Linked DNA regions of Xenopus tropicalis. The protein of the gene in region 1 interacts with the protein of each later gene in a pairwise test. Links are inferred from orthologs where the notes say so. Each region holds a gene or a part of one and is shown in the gene's direction. Other genes may lie near its edges.

What was found.
Region 2: the proteins of pld1 (region 1) and pea15 interact in a two-hybrid assay, tested with the Homo sapiens proteins (2 studies listed by BioGRID). The link is inferred for Xenopus tropicalis from reciprocal best matches to the Homo sapiens genes PLD1 and PEA15.

Annotation. Positions count from the first base shown.
Region 1 is NC_030681.2:111,351,752-111,360,421, forward strand, and holds the start of pld1 (phospholipase D1), read left to right. Parts: upstream 1-3,886; 5' UTR 3,887-3,899; coding exon 3,900-3,999; intron 4,000-8,670. UniProt on the Homo sapiens protein: Function as phospholipase selective for phosphatidylcholine. Implicated as a critical step in numerous cellular pathways, including signal transduction, membrane trafficking, and the regulation of mitosis.
Region 2 is NC_030684.2:138,136,936-138,145,566, forward strand, and holds the start of pea15 (astrocytic phosphoprotein PEA-15), read left to right. Parts: upstream 1-2,946; 5' UTR 2,947-3,164; intron 3,165-8,631. UniProt on the Homo sapiens protein: Blocks Ras-mediated inhibition of integrin activation and modulates the ERK MAP kinase cascade. Inhibits RPS6KA3 activities by retaining it in the cytoplasm. Inhibits both TNFRSF6- and TNFRSF1A-mediated CASP8 activity and apoptosis.

The DNA of each region.
Region 1 (8,670 bases):
ATCACTATGATTTCTATTTTGATTAGAAGACACAGGTGCATTACTCTCAATCACTTGAAAAAGAGCAGTGTTTTACTATGTAAATGTGTTAGAGAGAGCAGTGTGGCCCCATCCCTTCAGCACAGCACCAAGTCTACATTTTCTTAGCACGCTGGCATTCTAACACTAAGGTCCCTCCCTTTGTCAACTGCTTGCACTGAAGGCCACAGACACATGATTTCTTTGGTGTGCTCATTTCCTGCTTTCTGGGAACCCTCGGCTGCCCGTGCTCCTACATACTGACAGAATCACAACTCAGCCATGCCCACAGAAGCTTTACTGCAGGGGCACTGAGTAAAGTCACAGAGTGAGAGCAACATCTTGTCAAATGGAGCAAATGGATTCCTGAAGGTACTTTACAGAATATATGAAGAAATATTTTGTCTTTACTACAGGGATATAAAACAATGTTGACAAAGCGTGTTGCTGGGAGACGTATTTGCAAGTCTTTCAGCAAGGCACAGGTTAAACATATTCCTAGTGAACAGTGGGAGTACCCTTGCTGACACAGCATTATGTTATTTTTCTTTTGATGAGAGATCTGTGGAGTTGTTTCTGCTATAGTGAGTTCAGTTTATGGCTCCATTTGGCTGGCCACTACTAGCTTTTAAACTCCTGGCATCAGTAGAGATTATAACATAACAGGAGGGCTGTGGGAAGTTATAAGGAAAGCTATAACCAAAGAATCAATAGCAGCTGACTCCAGAAGCTGCAAGCAAATACATACACAACTATATATATATATACATACTGTATACAACTATACATCTATATTTTTTGTAAACAAAGGTCTAGGGAATGTAAACAAAAAAAGCATCCAGAGAGTTAAACAGATATCCTAGATGGTCAAGACGCTATAAGTAGGTCTCTGAGAACTTTTCAAGCAATTTAAGCTGATTGAAATACCCCTTCACAGCTTAAAAGCCCCTGTATGAATTTGCAATAACCAACTGCTAGATGGCTCCTGGTTAAAGAATGTCAGCAAACATTATGGTTATAAACATTTTGCTTTACCTACAGAAAAAAAGCACCCAGAGCAAGACAGCATGACATCATGACCTGGACTCTCTTGCTCCAGTATAGACTTTTTATTTTCCTCATTAAAGTTCTTTCCAAGAACTGCCAAATCTTATTTGTATCCCATCTCAGTTGCAGTTCTTGCCACAAAATCAGGCAGAAAGCCCTCCTTACATCTGATGCTCCAGACTCAAGAGTACATCTTAGGGCAAGGACACACAGGGTGGATTGCCAGCCTGCAAATTAGCACAGGCTGACAAACCACTGCTATGCTTAAAGTTGTGCCTGCACCCAGAAGGACCCAGAATGTGCCCAAAAAACACCAAGGGGCAGATTTATCAAAATGTGAGTTTAGAACTTAATATATCAAATCTCACCCCCAGTCTATTCATCTTTTTAGATTTTTTTTTTAGATTTTTAGAAGCGTATTTATCAATGAGTGAAAATTAGAACTCACCATCTGATAAATACACTGCTTAGAGCAAACTGTTGGAAGGTATGTGAGTATCATGGGACCAATTCTGAGGAAGTGGTGTTACCACGAAACGCGTTAAGCTAAAGAGGTGAATATGCTCTGACCTATTTTTAAATGATGAAATAAATTTATGTTTTTATTCTCAAGTTTTTTCTGTGCTCCGCTTCTCTATCAATTTTTGCCAAAACATGAACCTTTCCTGACATAACTAAGCAGAATATTCAGTCATCCAAGAGACACAATTACCTAATGTGCCTAGAGATAACTGCACAGCACAGTCCTGCAGTCCTGCCTCACCCACATATTGCCCACAATGTCATCTGCTCATTCAGCAACAGCAACAAAACTAAAACTAATCTGGCCAACATTAGCCAGTCATACAAATCTCAGAAAAATCTCAAAAGATAAAACTACTTAGAAAGTACAAAAACATCCTTTAAAGGACAATCAATACCTAAATAATTTTTTTGCAGTACATTGTGAAGACCTGTTATCCAAAGACCAAAAGTAATGTGTTTTAAAATAAATATTTTATTTATTTAGTATATTTGCTCTATGCTCAACTCCATGGACTTCCATATTTTTGCAATATGCCCCTTTCATCTGCCCAATTAGAGTTGTATTCAGTGGTATCAAAACCTGTATTCTTGTGCAGACATAGCTACATACAAGCATTGCTAGGGCCACACTGACCGGGCCCAAGCAACCCAGCACCAGGGGGGTTGGAGTGTGGGCAGTCATTGCCCCCACCACACCACGTAATGGTCGGGGCAATGATAAGCGAGCGTGGACTAGGGGTAGGCAAGAGAGGCTCCTGCCAGAGGCCCACTAAACGTTGAGCTCTAGGCAGGTGCCACTTCTGCCTACCAATAGTTCCGGCTAGGGCCACCCTAGTTCGGTTTAGTTGTGTTGCCAGTGTCCCCTTTCAAATCTGATGATGTGATCAGTTGCTGGGGGTGGGGTGGGGGGTGCTGCTGGTGCAATTGCCCCCACTATAGTCTATCTATATAGTCTCAAATTCCACCTTAATTTATCTGTATAAAATAAATACAGATAGCCCTCCCTATTAACATTTATTAACATTTGTATATAAAGTGCCAATATATTCCGCTGTACAATAAGTGGGTTTCATACATTGGACATACAGAGTAGCATATAAAGCAACCAATAACCGATACAAGAGGTGAAGAGGGCCTTTCCCAAAAGAGCTTACTATCTACAAGGACCCTATAACAGTCAACTCAGTGTCAGGGCTGCTTTAAAGGAGAATGCAAGTCAAAATTTAAAAAGCATACTGCCCAATAGTCCTCCTATTGTTTAGTAAAAATGCCACACTTTTGGCTCACCTAATCAAATATTTACTCAGTCACACTTACTTCACATTTTCTAGAACAGGCAGCCATCTCTAAAAAAGTATTCTCCCTTCCTTTCCCTCCTTGCTTCATACTGCACATGTGTTTCATTCCCTCCCCCCATCCCCTCTGCCAGATCGGCTTCTGATTGGCTGGTGGGCATGTGTAGCTCAGAACAGGAGACAGGATCAAGTTACACACATGCTCAGAGAATAGGAAGGCTGCCACTGGCAGCCTACAGGAAGGACAGAGAGATTTTAGTGATGTCACTGTAGTCTGCTGTAGGCTGCCAGCACCATATCTCAGAGAAGCAAGCAGGGATCTGGGAATTTAGATATGCAGTAAGTACTTAAAAAGAATGCCTTTAGACTTACTTTTAAGTTATATTAACCTTTCATTGTCCTTTAAGGTACCAATGGGTCCAAAACAAAGAGCTCACTGGTGGGCCCCTGCAACTAATCTAATACATTGCTGTTAGGCCTGCCTTCAGGCCTAAGTATTTGAATATTCAGTATTTGAATACATTAAGGCAGGAAATACAGAAAAAATCTGTGCTTACTTAAACAGACATGACGTCGAGGCTTGGTAGCCAATACCACAGTGTTGGGAAAAGATAAACTGTGATCACGAATGACAGCTTCTATTAAAAATAATATACAGGAATATGTTTACCTCTTCCAGCTGATTAAAATGAGAGGCCTGACAATACTGGGGGGTGCATCAGATGAAAAGTCTGATTGTAGGCCCCCAGTCCTGGTAGGCCCTGCGCAATTGCCCCTTTTGCCCATTTATTAAAACTTCCCTGCACAGTGCTAATTTTTAGCATGAGCACAATGTATAACAAAACATACAAATCTGTCCCAAGAAGCCCAACTAATCAATGCTGAAATGTATGCTTTCTCTTTAAATGCAGAATGACTTGTTCGCTGCTTATAGTAACTGCATTAAGTGGCTGGAAAAGCTGCCTGCATTATTTTGTTAGCGGGTGTGTCTCACAGGTTGCTCAATGAATCCGGATGCTTTTAGCCTGCAGTCAGTTTCAGCTGTTCACTGAACACCACCACCTCCTCAAGGCTCTAGAAACAGAATCTTACGACACGGCATTGTCACGCACAGGTAACATGGGAGAGTTATGTCTGTGATTCTGTGCTGCATTGCAGGGTACCAGGAAGCTTGTATTGAGGGGGTTGTTCTCTGTACTATGGCAATGTGACAGGAGTATTTGTGCTTGTAAGAAAGAAAGGGTGCTGCTTTTGATATGTTTCTGTAACTGTCCTCATCTCAAAGTATGTATATATGTGTCTACGTGCAGTACATGGCTGTCTGTAATTACTATTACTGTACTGAGTCATTTGAAAACACTCAAGGAGAGTTAATAAATTCAAATTGTTGGGTTGCAAACTGATTGAATTTCAATGAAATGCATTCAGTGCAACCCTTCTTATCTAGAAGCAGCCCCAATTTTCCGCATGGTCTGCTAACATTATTGAACTGCAAACGTAAATAAGTGAGGCAAGCGTGTGTGGTTTTCCATTTTTCAAAAATAGATGTTTAATTTGTCACGTGGTTGGGAATCAAAACAGACTTGTAGGACTGTGCAGTACAGACCAAGGACTATATTTACATGTATTGCCTCACAACTGCGTAGGCAGATACCTTGCCTAGTATCTCTAGGCATCTGAGGACTTCTGATCCATTAATAAATCTAACTGAGTGGATAATGTTATAGTGGACTATACTTGTTACTATACTACTTGTGACTATTTATTAGTTTTGCTGTTGCTGCTTGTAGCTACAACAGAACTTCATTGGGTCTCTGTCACCACTCTGGAAAAAAATGTGTGTTATAGTCATGTGTCTATGCTTCCCCTCCTCCTAACTGTTAGTTGCACATTTAGTTGCATTAAACTCCCACAAGATAAATACATGCTAATCCCTATATTACTGGAAAAGAAGCAGCAAACGGCACAGTGGTTTTTAGTGTAGGTTTGAAAAATGTCAGCATAGCAGAATCTTTAATAAGTGGATATGGGAAGAGGTGACGTGCCCTTTGTGATGGTGATCCCTTGCATCTGGCTAATGAATATATATATACAATATATTGTATTGGGTGAGGGAATGATTTGTGACCCACATTATACTTTTACCTTTATACGAGTAAAATAAAGAAATCTGTACATCACATAATACTGTATCTATATTTATGCACTTCTATTAATTTTAGGCTTGTGATATGTCACTATGCCTACAAAGGGTAGAGGAGACTCATCATTGAAAAACTTCTAATTAAAACATCTAAGTAGTAACTTTTTAGAAGCCAGACATAGGAGTAAACAACTGAAACAATCAAAAACCTCTGAAATGGCATATAAATACACATACAAACTCAAGGTGATTAGTACCTAAAGTCTCCTTAAAGACTAGAATTGGAAAATTGGGCTTTTGGAAAGGGTGCAGTGCCATTAGTAAACTTTTCCAGGGTATTCAAAATTTACATTTTTAGACTATTTAAAAAATGTTTTGGTGAAATGCAGTACTATGCTACTGTGAAAACTTTGTGCTAAGATGAGAGTTTTGTCTATAGAAAAATCCTAGCTAAAGGCGCACACACTTGTGTGAGAAGCAGCTATTTTTGATTAGGGATGCCACCTCACCCCTTAAATACAGGCCACATATTTAATACTCATCCAGCATGGCTAGTTAGCAATTAATTTAGTTCATAGTACACAGCAGCACATAAATCAGTTTAGCCTGCAGCATGCATTTAAATTAATTGCTAATTAGCCATGCAGGATGTGAATTAAGGGTGAAGACACACAGAGCAACTAGTAACAGCTACTTTTTCATGGTTACTAAACGCCAGAAAATACCCTGCCATAGACAATACTGAAAATTGCCTCTGCTAAAACACAGGTAGAGACAATTATCAGTAAATAATCAGTGTTGTCTGTTTTAGTAGCCATGTCAATTAGCTGCTACTAGTAGCACTAACAGCGTGTCTTCACCTATGTTAATCTTTTCTTGTGAAGTTTTTTAATAAATAACATAAATACCCTAAATATGTGGTCGATATTAATGGGGTGAGGTGGCAACCCTATTTCTCATAGATGAAGAATGTTGTTGGTTCTGAGGTCACGAAGTAGGGTTGCCACCATTTGTGACCTGTTTTTACTGTCTAGGTGACAATCATATGGTGGAGAAAACTAAAAACACAGGTTTAAACTAACGTCAAAGTTTGCTTTGCCTTATATTAAAGGACAAGGAAAGGCTAAGTCACTTGGGGGTGCCAAAATGTTAGGCACCCCCAAGTGACTTTAATCACTTACCTTGTACCCCGGGCTGGTGCCCCTGTTAGGAAAAAACAGCACCAGCCCGGGGTACCTGTAGCGAGCGCTTCCTGCTTCGTTTTGCCGGGACCCCACGACCGGTGCATGCGCAGTAGAGTAAAAAGCCGACTTCTCTGTTAAAGTTCCACTATTCACTCTACTGCGCATGCGCGCGAAACAGGAAGGAGGAAGCGCTGCAGCTACCCCGGGCTGGTGCTGTTCCTAAAAGGTTTAATTCACTTGGGGGTGCCTAACATTTTGGCACCCCCAAGTGACTTTGCCTTTCCTTGTCCTTTAAGGTAGTGGTGCTTTTTGGTCCATTGTAATGTCACAATATTGCCATTATGGGCAAAGCATAGCTGATAGAGTTTAAATACAGGAAATATATCTGTGTATGATTAAATGAATAGAAGGGTAAGATTTATTTATGTTGGGTATGTTCAGGTTGTGGATTTCTCCTGTATTTCACCACAGGGATGCGCAGGACGCAGCTATCTTTATCAGACGTACAGACACAGGCATATCAAAGCACCAACGCTGGTGGAACACAACGTGATGTGTTCAACCTGCGTTTGAAGCTTGGATGCGCCTGTGTCTTTTCTTTCTTTTCTTTTTTTTCTGCTTTTCGTCTTGCACTCCACTGTGGAGGAGCGCAGGAGAAATCTACCACAGGAGAGTGCCAGATAAAATGCTAATGTGTAAGAGCCCTTAGAATGCACTAGAGTACACCACCAATGAATTTAGTGAAAACACTTCTTTTTTAACTGCTTAATACTGAGGGAAGAAATTAGAGAACTGCCATAGAATTAGTAATGTTACTGTACATAAGTCTTAACTTCTGTTGTAGGAAAACATCTCACTGGCTTAAAGGGGATCATGGAGCTCTACCCTAAACAGTGTGGGGATCTATTTTAGGGTCCCAACATATGGTTTAAGGATCCCTGATCTACACAGTGCTTATAATAATCTATCACAGGGGTGGGCAAACTTTTTAGCTCAGGGGCCACATTAATTAACATACGGGCCGGACCGGGCCGGGACAGCGTTACGCCCGGGGCTGCCATAAAAAATTATGGGGCCTCTCAGCTCCTCCCCAGCGACCCACTGCTTCCTCCATCCCGTCCTTCTGTTCCCCGGCTCCCCAGTGCATTCTTTTATATGGTTGCGCCCTGTGCGTGCTGACGCTGTGCGCACGCATGGGGCACAACCAATCAGAGCCCTTCATTCTTTTAAGGGGGGCGGAGACGGCGGGCCGGATTAAAAGGGCTGACGGGCCGGATGTGGCCCGCGGGCCGTAGTTTGCCCACCCCTGATCTATCAGAACAAAGTTAAAAACATTTTGATTTAATGTAATTGTAAAAACTAATGTTTTGGGTAGTTCTCCCAGCAAATGCAATATGATAGCATCTGTCTATTTCTAATGGATACTAATAACAAATAACATTAAAGGCTTCTGCTGGAGCAAACTGGACATACCCATAGACAGGGGATTAAGGTGCCGATACACTAATATTATCATACGAAACACGGTTTTGCAAATATTTGGTGCACGTATGGTGGGTTGATGAGGAGACCGATATCGGCAAAAGCCTTGGATATCTGTTATCTTGCCGATCAGACAGGTCTGAAAATTTTTATCAGGCGCCCGAACATTGGATGTAAGTTAATGCTGAATCGTCAATAGAGATTGAATTCTATTGTTTCTACCTGCATGTCTGACTAGTGGAGTGGACAAACAATCTTTCCTGTGACTAATTGTTGTGGACACCTTTTTTCTAAGTTTAATGGCCCAATGGGGAGATTAGTTGCCTGCAGTTAATCACTAGCAATAAAGTGAATCGCCAGTAGAAAGGCAAATGTATTGCTTTGTTTTCAGACGTCGCACAAAGTTTCCTGCAGGAGGAAACCCCATTCAATTGGAAAGCGACACGTATGCCTTCTCACCTGCGATTTACGATTAGTCACCCATGGTATTAGATACTAATAGCAAATAACTATAATATCTTTTGTTGGAGCAAACTGGACATGCCCATGCCCTTGCCATACACACGGGCAGCATAGGGCAGGCAGAGTATGACACACACAGGCAGGGTAGGGCAGGCAGAGTATGGCACACAGGCAGCATAGGGCAGGCAGATTATGGCACACAGGCAGCATAGGGCAGGTAGAGTATGGCACACACAGGCAGGGTAGGGCAGGTAGAGTATGGCACACAGGCAGCAAAGGGCAGGCAGAGTATGGCACACACAGGCAGGGTAGGGCAGGCAGAGTATGGCATACAGGCAGGGTAGGGAAGGCAGAGTTTGGCACACACAGGCAGCATAGGGCAGGCAGAGTATGTTATTGTAATGTGTATGGCCACCTTTACTTGTAAGTTTAAAGGCCAATGGGGAGATTAGTTGCCTGCAGTTAATCACTGGCAATAAAGTGAATCGCTAGTGAAAAGGCATACGTGTCGCTT
Region 2 (8,631 bases), on another chromosome or scaffold:
CTGGGGTAAGTACTTCCTGTGCAGTCCCTCCCAGGGCAGTAGGTACAGTGGGTTCCCTGGGTATCTGGGGTAAGTACTTCCTGTGCAGTCCCTCCCAGGGCAGTAGGTACAGTGGGTTCCCTGGGTATCTGGGGTAAGTACTTCCTGTGCAGTCCCTCCCAGGGCAGTAGGTACAGTGGGTTCCCTGGGTATCTGGGGTAGGTACTTTACTTTACATTACAATAATAGTAACTTATTACAAGCAAAATTTCAGTCAGAGCTGGACTATCAGTGACTGTTATTACAGTAACCTTCCTGTAGGTGGCGCCAGTACAAAACCTGATCTTTATCCCATCCCAAAGCTTAAGCAGTTGCATTAGATAGTATCTGATCTGCCAGGATCCTCCCTACACCCAGCATTTCGTTAGATTGGAGCTCTGATACCCTGTGTGTGAGGAGGGTGGGGGGGGGACTTCTGCTACATTGTTTCTACAGTCAGAACCAGAAAGGGCTAAACAGATAAGGCGTCTCTTCCTCTAATAAGATAATAAATATGAATATTTCTTTGCTGCACGTGAATTAGAAAAGGTTATTAAATCCCAGGGAAGGAGATCTGTGCAGCCTGAGAAGGTAATTGGCAAAAATGCATTTCATTTCCCTCTATTAGTTTCTGTAATGAAATAGCGAATAATGCGGCTGTAGCGTAGTAACAGGAGGGATTAGGTGCAAATGTAATTGCTATTAGGAGCGGCATCTGTCTGCCCTTTCCTAGTATTATCTGCACTGCTGGTCCCGACTGCCTGTACCGCTCCAATTCCCATAATGCCTTGCACACTTTTGTTCATCACAGAACAGGCTGAAGGAGAGCTGACTACTGCGGAATTGTCTCAACAGTACATGTAGTCAGAACCAGCAGTGCAGAGAATAGCTCCTGGTTAGTGTGCCTGAACCCCCGAGGTAAAAATTGGGCAGGGTAGTTTGGGATAGCCGGGGTATACAAACAAGCACTTTTAACCTTTTTTTTTCTCCCAATACAGAAGCAAATATTAAAGGGGAAGTTAATCTTACTATGATCTTGTAGATTGTAAGCTCTTTTGGGCAGGGCTCTCTTCCCCTCCTGTATCGGTTACTGATTACCTTATATGTTACTCTGTATGTCCAATGTATGGAACCCACTTATTGTACAGCGCTGCGGGATATGTTGGCGCTTTATAAATAAATGTTAATAATAATAATATGATGCAGCTGTGCTGAGTTCAATTTCAGACAGGGCCCTATGCAAGGAGTTTGTATATTACCCCCACGTATGTGATGGACTTCTCTGGGTTAATTGGCTCCTCATCATTGACTGTCTGTTTGTGACTGTGATAGGGACCTTAGATTGTAAGCTCACTGGGGCAGGGACTGATGGGAATGGGATAGGGACCTTAGATTGTAAGCTCACTGGGGCAGGGACTGATGGGAATGGGATAGGGACCTTAGATTGTAAGCTTCACTGGGGCAGGGACTGATGGGAATGTGATAGGGACCTTAGATTGTAAGCTCACTGGGGCAGGGGCTGATGGGATAGGGACCTTAGATTGTAAGCTCACTGGGGCAGGGACTGATGGGAATGGGATAGGGACCTTAGATTGTAAGCTCACTGGGGCAGGGGCTGATGGGAATGTGATAGGGACCTTAGATTGTAAGCTCACTGGGGCAGGGACTGATGGGAATGGGATAGGGACCTTAGATTGTAAGCTCACTGGGGCAGGGACTGATGGGAATGTGATAGGGACCTTAGATTGTAAGCTCACTGGGATAGGGACCTTAGATTGTAAGCTCACTGGGGCAGGGACTGATGGGAATGTGATAGGGACCTTAGATTGTAAGCTCACTGGGGCAGGGACTGAAGGGAATGTGATAGGGACCTTAGATTGTAAGCTCACTGGGGCAGGGACTGATGGGAATGGGATAGGGACCTTACATTGTAAGCTCACTGGGGCAGGGACTGATGGGAATGTGATAGGGACCTTAGATTGTAAGTTCACTGGGGCAGGGACTGATGGGAATGTGATAGGGACCTTAGATTGTAAGCTCACTGGGGCAGGGGCTGATGGGAATGTGATAGGGACCTTAGATTGTAAGCTCACTGGGGCAGGGACTGATGGGAATGGGATAGGGACCTTAGATTGTAAGCTCACTGGGGCAGGGACTGATGGGAATGTGATAGGGACCTTAGATTGTAAGCTCACTGGGGCAGGGACTGATGGGAATGTGATAGGGACCTTAGATTGTAAGCTCACTGGGATAGGGACCTTAGATTGTAAGCTCACTGGGGCAGGGACTGATGGGAATGTGATAGGGACCTTAGATTGTAAGCTCACTGGGGCAGGGACTGATGGGAATGTGATAGGGACCTTAGATTGTAAGCTCACTGGGATAGGGACCTTAGATTGTAAGCTCACTGGGGCAGGGACTGATGGGAATGTGATAGGGACCTTAGATTGTAAGCTCACTGGGGCAGGGACTGATGGGAATGTGATAGGGACCTTAGATTGTAAGCTCACTGGGGCAGGGATAATGTATAATCAGTATGTGAATCTGTTGGATAGTAGTAGGTGCCGGCCCCTGAGCACTTACATGCCAGTAGCACACCGTGTATAGGCTGGAGATGGCCAGATGGCACCCAGTAACCCAGCAGCTGGCAGTAGAATATTCCCTACAGTGAAAGTTCCGACTCATGCAGCATTCCATCAATTTATTTACGCCGGACAAACCAAGCAAACACCCCCCCCCCTCCAAATTACACACTTCCTCTGTGTAGATGCTGCTATTCATTCTCTCCGTGTGCTGAATAATACAGAGCTCAGGGGCGCTCTCGCACACTCACACACTCTCTCGCACACTCGCACACACTCTCTCTCTGACATCACTCAGTACAAAGGGTGGAGTGAGAAAGCATTGGAATCAGTTGGGTCTGTGAAGGGGAAGGGAAATTCTCTGCTCATAGAGGGAAGCGGAGCCTGGCTGTCAGCTGAGTCACATCCACACAGGGACTAAGTGGCAGTCGGGCGCAAGGCACCCCATCCCTGGGCACTGAGTGGAGACAGTGGCACAGAAGGGGCTCTAGGGGGGCCACAGGAGCTTTGCCATCCATCTGGGGTACCCAGGACCAGAGTCTAAGGCTTGAGCTGAAGGATACGGTAAGACATGATGGGTGTGATTGTGTTTTTGGGGTGGGGGGGGGGGTGGATAGGATGTGGGACTCACAGGAAGGGAGTGGCTGCAGGGAGTAGTTGCTGTGCCCAACAGCTGGAAGTCCTTACAAATAGACCAGTTGCATGGCTGTCACTACTTATCCCGGGATGGGATTCCGGCAGCTGAAGTTTGTGCAGGGATAGTTTAGGGTAGGGCAGAAAGGGCATCTGGGGGGGCCCCACCAACAGCTGTATTCCACTCACTGCCCCTCCCTTACTCAGGGGCCCCAGACTCAGGAGCCCCACTCTCCCCATCCCTGCTTGCTGGATTGATGGAAAAGACTTTGTTGGACAGATCCTTAGAGTATGCAGCTGGGGTCCATGCCCACACCCATCCACATTCCTGCCCGTAGCTCCCCATTGGATCTGCCCATTCAGCGGGGCAGCACAGCCGGCATCCAGCAGGCACCGTGCCGGAATCGGCCAGCGGTTCTGGGTGGGATTTGGATCTTCAGAACTTCAGCTGCTTTTCCCCTGACTTGTGAATGACTTTAACCCCCCCCCCCCCAATGGCTAATTAGTTCCCAAACCCTTGCGGAAGTAGCAGCCCCCACCCCAGTAAGCCAGTAGCTGAAACAGTGCCGGAGGGGTGTGCCGGATAATGTTAAACCCCCAGATTATTGGCTCAGCCCCTGGCATTCAAAGGGTTAGTGCTGCATTTAACCCCCAGCTCCCTGGGCCAGTAAAACATAGTAAGGATATCCACCCTTCCCTTCACTGTGCCATCTCCGCCCGGTGGCAACGGTTCGATTCCCATTACATGGGGAAGGGGGTAACTAACCCCACATCTACCCCTTTTAAAGGGAAAGTTGCACTGCTGTACATCCAATACTGATAATTGTACTTCCCCCACCCTGACCTTATGGGAAGGCAGCATAGCTAAACCTGTAATACAGCATTAAGGGCATATAGGATAGGCTGCACGGCTGAACTACAACTCCCAGGCATTGGAATAGTACAGCGGGAGTTCAGCAATTACTGGGGGAATCTGGATACCCCCATTGAAAAAAGATATATGTATGAGATTAATGAGTGCATGTTATATACAGTTAATGCTACTACAATACACTAAATGGTGATATTAGGACTACATTTCCCAGCATCCCCAGCATTTATTCTGCTCTCATTGCTGTGCATTTACCCAGACGTTTTTCAGGGGTCGCGTCAAAATTCCGTAAATTCCCAAAAACTTAAATCAGTGAAAAACGCATTCAGGGACGTAAAATGGGGGTTCTACTGTACATAGAATCGATATTCCTTACGGCACGTGGAGGAACGTAAACTCTTCTGTCAAAAAACCTCTGCCTGCCCTCTCCTGGCGGCGTTCTAGCCCGCGATACGCGAAGGCAGCGCATTGATTATCTCTATCCCCTGCGGCCTCAGGCAGTGGGTATTAGGAAACCGTGTAATGCCGAGCGACAGGAAATCAAACGCTCCGACTGAGCGCAAGAGCACTGCTAGGGGCCACTATAATGCAGCAGGAATGTAGGGAAGGGGAAAGTGTTGGAAGGGTTACTGCCTGCTCTGCTCTCATTCCCCTACAGAAATAGGGGTTGGTAGCACTAGGTAGGTACCTAATATATAGGGGCAGAGACAGGGGAAAGTGTTGGAAGGGTTACTGCCTGCTCTGCTCTCATTCCCCTACAGAAATAGGGGTTGGTAGCACTAGGTAGGTACCTAATATATAGGGGCAGAGACAGGGGAAAGTGTTGGAAGGGTTACTGCCTGCCCTGCTCTCATTTCCCTACAGAAATAGGGGTTGGTAGCACTAGGTAGGTACCTAATATATAGGGGCAGAGACAGGGGAAAGTGTTGGAAGGGTTACTGCCTGCCCTGCTATCTGTGAATTATACTTATTAGTTCTTCCTATACTACAGGTGGGAGGAGCGGACCCCCTTATCCCACCCAAGTGATAAACATGTTCTCATTTAAAGCTCCCATAACAGCAATGGAATAGATAGAATCCCCAATCAGACGTGTCCCCGGCTAAGCTGCTCCCCCACCCCCCATAACATCTGCTTTATCTGCAGCTCTCGGGGTCAGTCCGTGCCTCGGCGCAGCCTGTGGGATATTTCCCTACGTTCCAGTGCATTTAGTACAATTCCCCAGTAGTCGGAACTGGCGGCGATTACAGTTAATATTGCCCTAATCCACTCCGGCCTCATCCCTGTGTATTAATCAAATGGAGAATAAATTCCCCTATCAGGATAATCCCCTTGATTGAAAAGAATTGATTGGATGGAGACATGTTTTTTTATTTGTAAAGGGAAAAGTCCCACTCAGTCCAGGACTGTAGAAATAGAAATTCAGGGGCCAATGCCACCCCCAAAGTATTCCGGGACTACCTGTGAGTCGAAGGATAATAAATAAAATATATGGACCAATCAGAGGTGACTGCTAATTAGTTGCTATGGGATGTTACAGCTGATTTTATGAAGAGCAACAGTTGGGGGACAGAGGATGCTGGGAGTGGTAGTTATCGGCACTTGACTGAGTTTATAACATAATACTGGCCTATATATGTGCGGATTTAAAGGTCAACTTAACCTTTAGATTCATTTTATATCTGTGCAGTTGTCACTTCCTTTCCAGTAGAACAGGAAATGCGTGGGGCAGCCATATTTTAAGTCCCATGGTGAAAGGACGGAATATGCTGAACTGCACGGGAAGCCATTTTTTATTAAGCCACTCCCAGATTCCCTTTCTAAATGATCAGGATGTACCAAATGTTATAGTGGAAGGGGGGAGCTACTTGCTTCAGTCACTCACCTTCTGAAAGATCAGGATGTACCAAATGTTATAGTGGAAGGGGGGAGCTACTTGCTTCAGTCACTCACCTTCTGAAAGATCAGGATGTACCAAATGTTATAGTGGAAGGGGGGAGCTACTTGCTTCAGTCACTCACCTTCTGAAAGATCAGGATGTACCAAATGTTATAGTGGAAGGGGGGAGCTACTTGCTTCAGTCACTCACCTTCTGAAAGATCAGGTTGTACCAAATGTTATAGCGGAAGGGGGGAGCTACTTGCTTCAGTCACTCACCTTCTGAAAGATCAGGATGTACCAAATGTTATAGTGGAAGGGGGGAGCTACTTGCTTCAGTCACTCACCTTCTGAAAGATCAGGATGTACCAAATGTTATAGTGGAAGGGGGGAGCTACTTGCTTCAGTCACTCACCTTCTGAAAGATCAGGATGTACCAAATGTTATAGTGGAAGGGGGGAGCTACTTGCTTCAGTCACTCACCTTCTGAAAGATCAGGATGTACCAAATGTTATAGTGGAAGGGAGGAGCTACTTGCTTCAGTCACTCACCTTCTGAAAGATCAGGATGTACCAAATGTTATAGTGGAAGGGGGGAGCTACTTGCTTCAGTCACTCACCTTCTGAAAGATCAGGATGTACCAAACGTCATGGTGGGGGGAGGCTTTTTTTTGTCATTATTTTGAGGAGGGAAGACATATTTAGTCACTCCCCTTTCCGAAAGATATACCACATTTCATGGGAGGGACATTTCTGAAACAGAATGTACCAAATTTCATGGTGGGAGCCAATTTTTGGTCGCTCCTTTCTGAAAGATATACCAAATTTAATTGTGGGGGGAGCCATGTTTTCGGTCCCTCCCTTTCTTAAAGATCGGGACCTTATGGGGGAAGCCATTTTTTCAGTCTTGAAAAAATGGGGGGGCGGGGCCCTTTATTCAGTAACTCTATTTATTCAGTCACTCGATTTCTATAAGATCAGGATGTACCAAACGTCATGGTGGGGGAGGCTTTTTTTTGTCATTATTTTGTGGAGGGAAGACATATTTAGTCACTCCCCTTCCGAAAGATGAAAGATCGGGATGTACCAAATTTAATGGTGGCGGGAGCCAGTTTTTCGGCCACTCCCTTTCTTAAAGATCAGGATCTGCCAAACGTTATGATGGGGGGAAGCACATTTTTCAGTCGCTCCTTTCTGAATGATGGGGATGTTCCAAACTTCTCGGTGGGGGAAGCTATTTTTATTCACTCCACCAAATGGGATGGTGGTGGTAGCCATGTTTTCTCCCTTTCTTTAAGATCAGGATCTGATTGGGGGAAGCCATTTTGTCAGTCACTTATGAGTCACTCTATTTTTATAAGATCAGAATATTCCATTCTTCAAGGTAGAGGGAAGCCATTTTTTTCAAGTCACACTGCCTCTGAAATTATAGGATATACCAAAGTTCATAGGGGGGAGCATGTCCTCTGTTGAGCAAAGGTCTGTTTCTTGATATAATGAGAACCTTTTCTATTAACCGTAGCTCCCAGCTAAATTTCACTACCTTTACCGAGGGCTCACTTCGTCATTTTTGTTTCATTTGATGCTGTTGGATATCTCAAAGTATTCATACCATAATTACTCTTCACTGGCTCTAATGTAACAGTGACCCCTGGTGGCTAAATGGCGGTTTCTATTATAAAAAAGGACAAGTTTTATGGGCAAGTTTGGGCTCTCAGTTGGTGGAGAATGCGGCTTGTGTGTTATGACCTATTAAAGGGGACCTGTCCAAATACTTTTCTGTTGGGTTGGTCAAGTATAATAAACATCACTTACGCTATATAATTTATATACATCTTGTTTCCTTCGGTCTTGGAATTACACAACTACGGCCTGCAGGGAGGCGCCATTTTGTTAGTAAGGAAAGCTTTATATCATGCCAAAATCTTGTTTATATGCCAGAATGGGGGGGGGGGGGGGCCTGATCCCCAAGAATTGGCTACACAATAAGATGGTGAGAAGAAGGGGGAAGTGTGAGGAGGGCAGTGACATCTAGGCAGTGCTGAATGGAAAGTGAAAGTAACTGTCTAAGACATAGAGGTGGGGCAGCCAATATATGATTGACAGCTGGGATTTTTAAATGCCTTTATAATGGGTATGGATGTGAGGCCCTTCTGTGGGGATTATACAGATCCAGAGGGCCACAGATCCCCGACAGTGGCCCTTTTATGGACAGCTCTGTATGTGCCAGGCCAAGGTTGGCCCTGGGGAGCCTGCAGCAGAGATATGGGCAGAGTAGAACAGAGCCGGTTCAGTCAGCGCATTGGCAGGCTTGGCATGTCCCACAGATAATGCTGGCATTTTAACTCCCCGTGACTGGGAGCGGAATGAGGCAACGGCTGGAAACCCAGGAGAAAGAGAGCAGGGAGTTGCACATTGTAGCCAGAGGGGACGCCACTTACTCTATCCCCTTATCTGCCTTAGATAAACAGCTTCAATTATAGACCAAAGGGGCTTGCCGGGAGTTGTATTCTAGTAATAGATGAAGTGCTGTCATGATATAAGTAAGGTTGCTTGTTTTGCACCCCTCACTTCCTGTCCCTCCCCTCAGTGCAGTATGGTTCAACCCCAAACAGGAAGTGAGTAATACACAAAGAACAGTTCTAATTACGG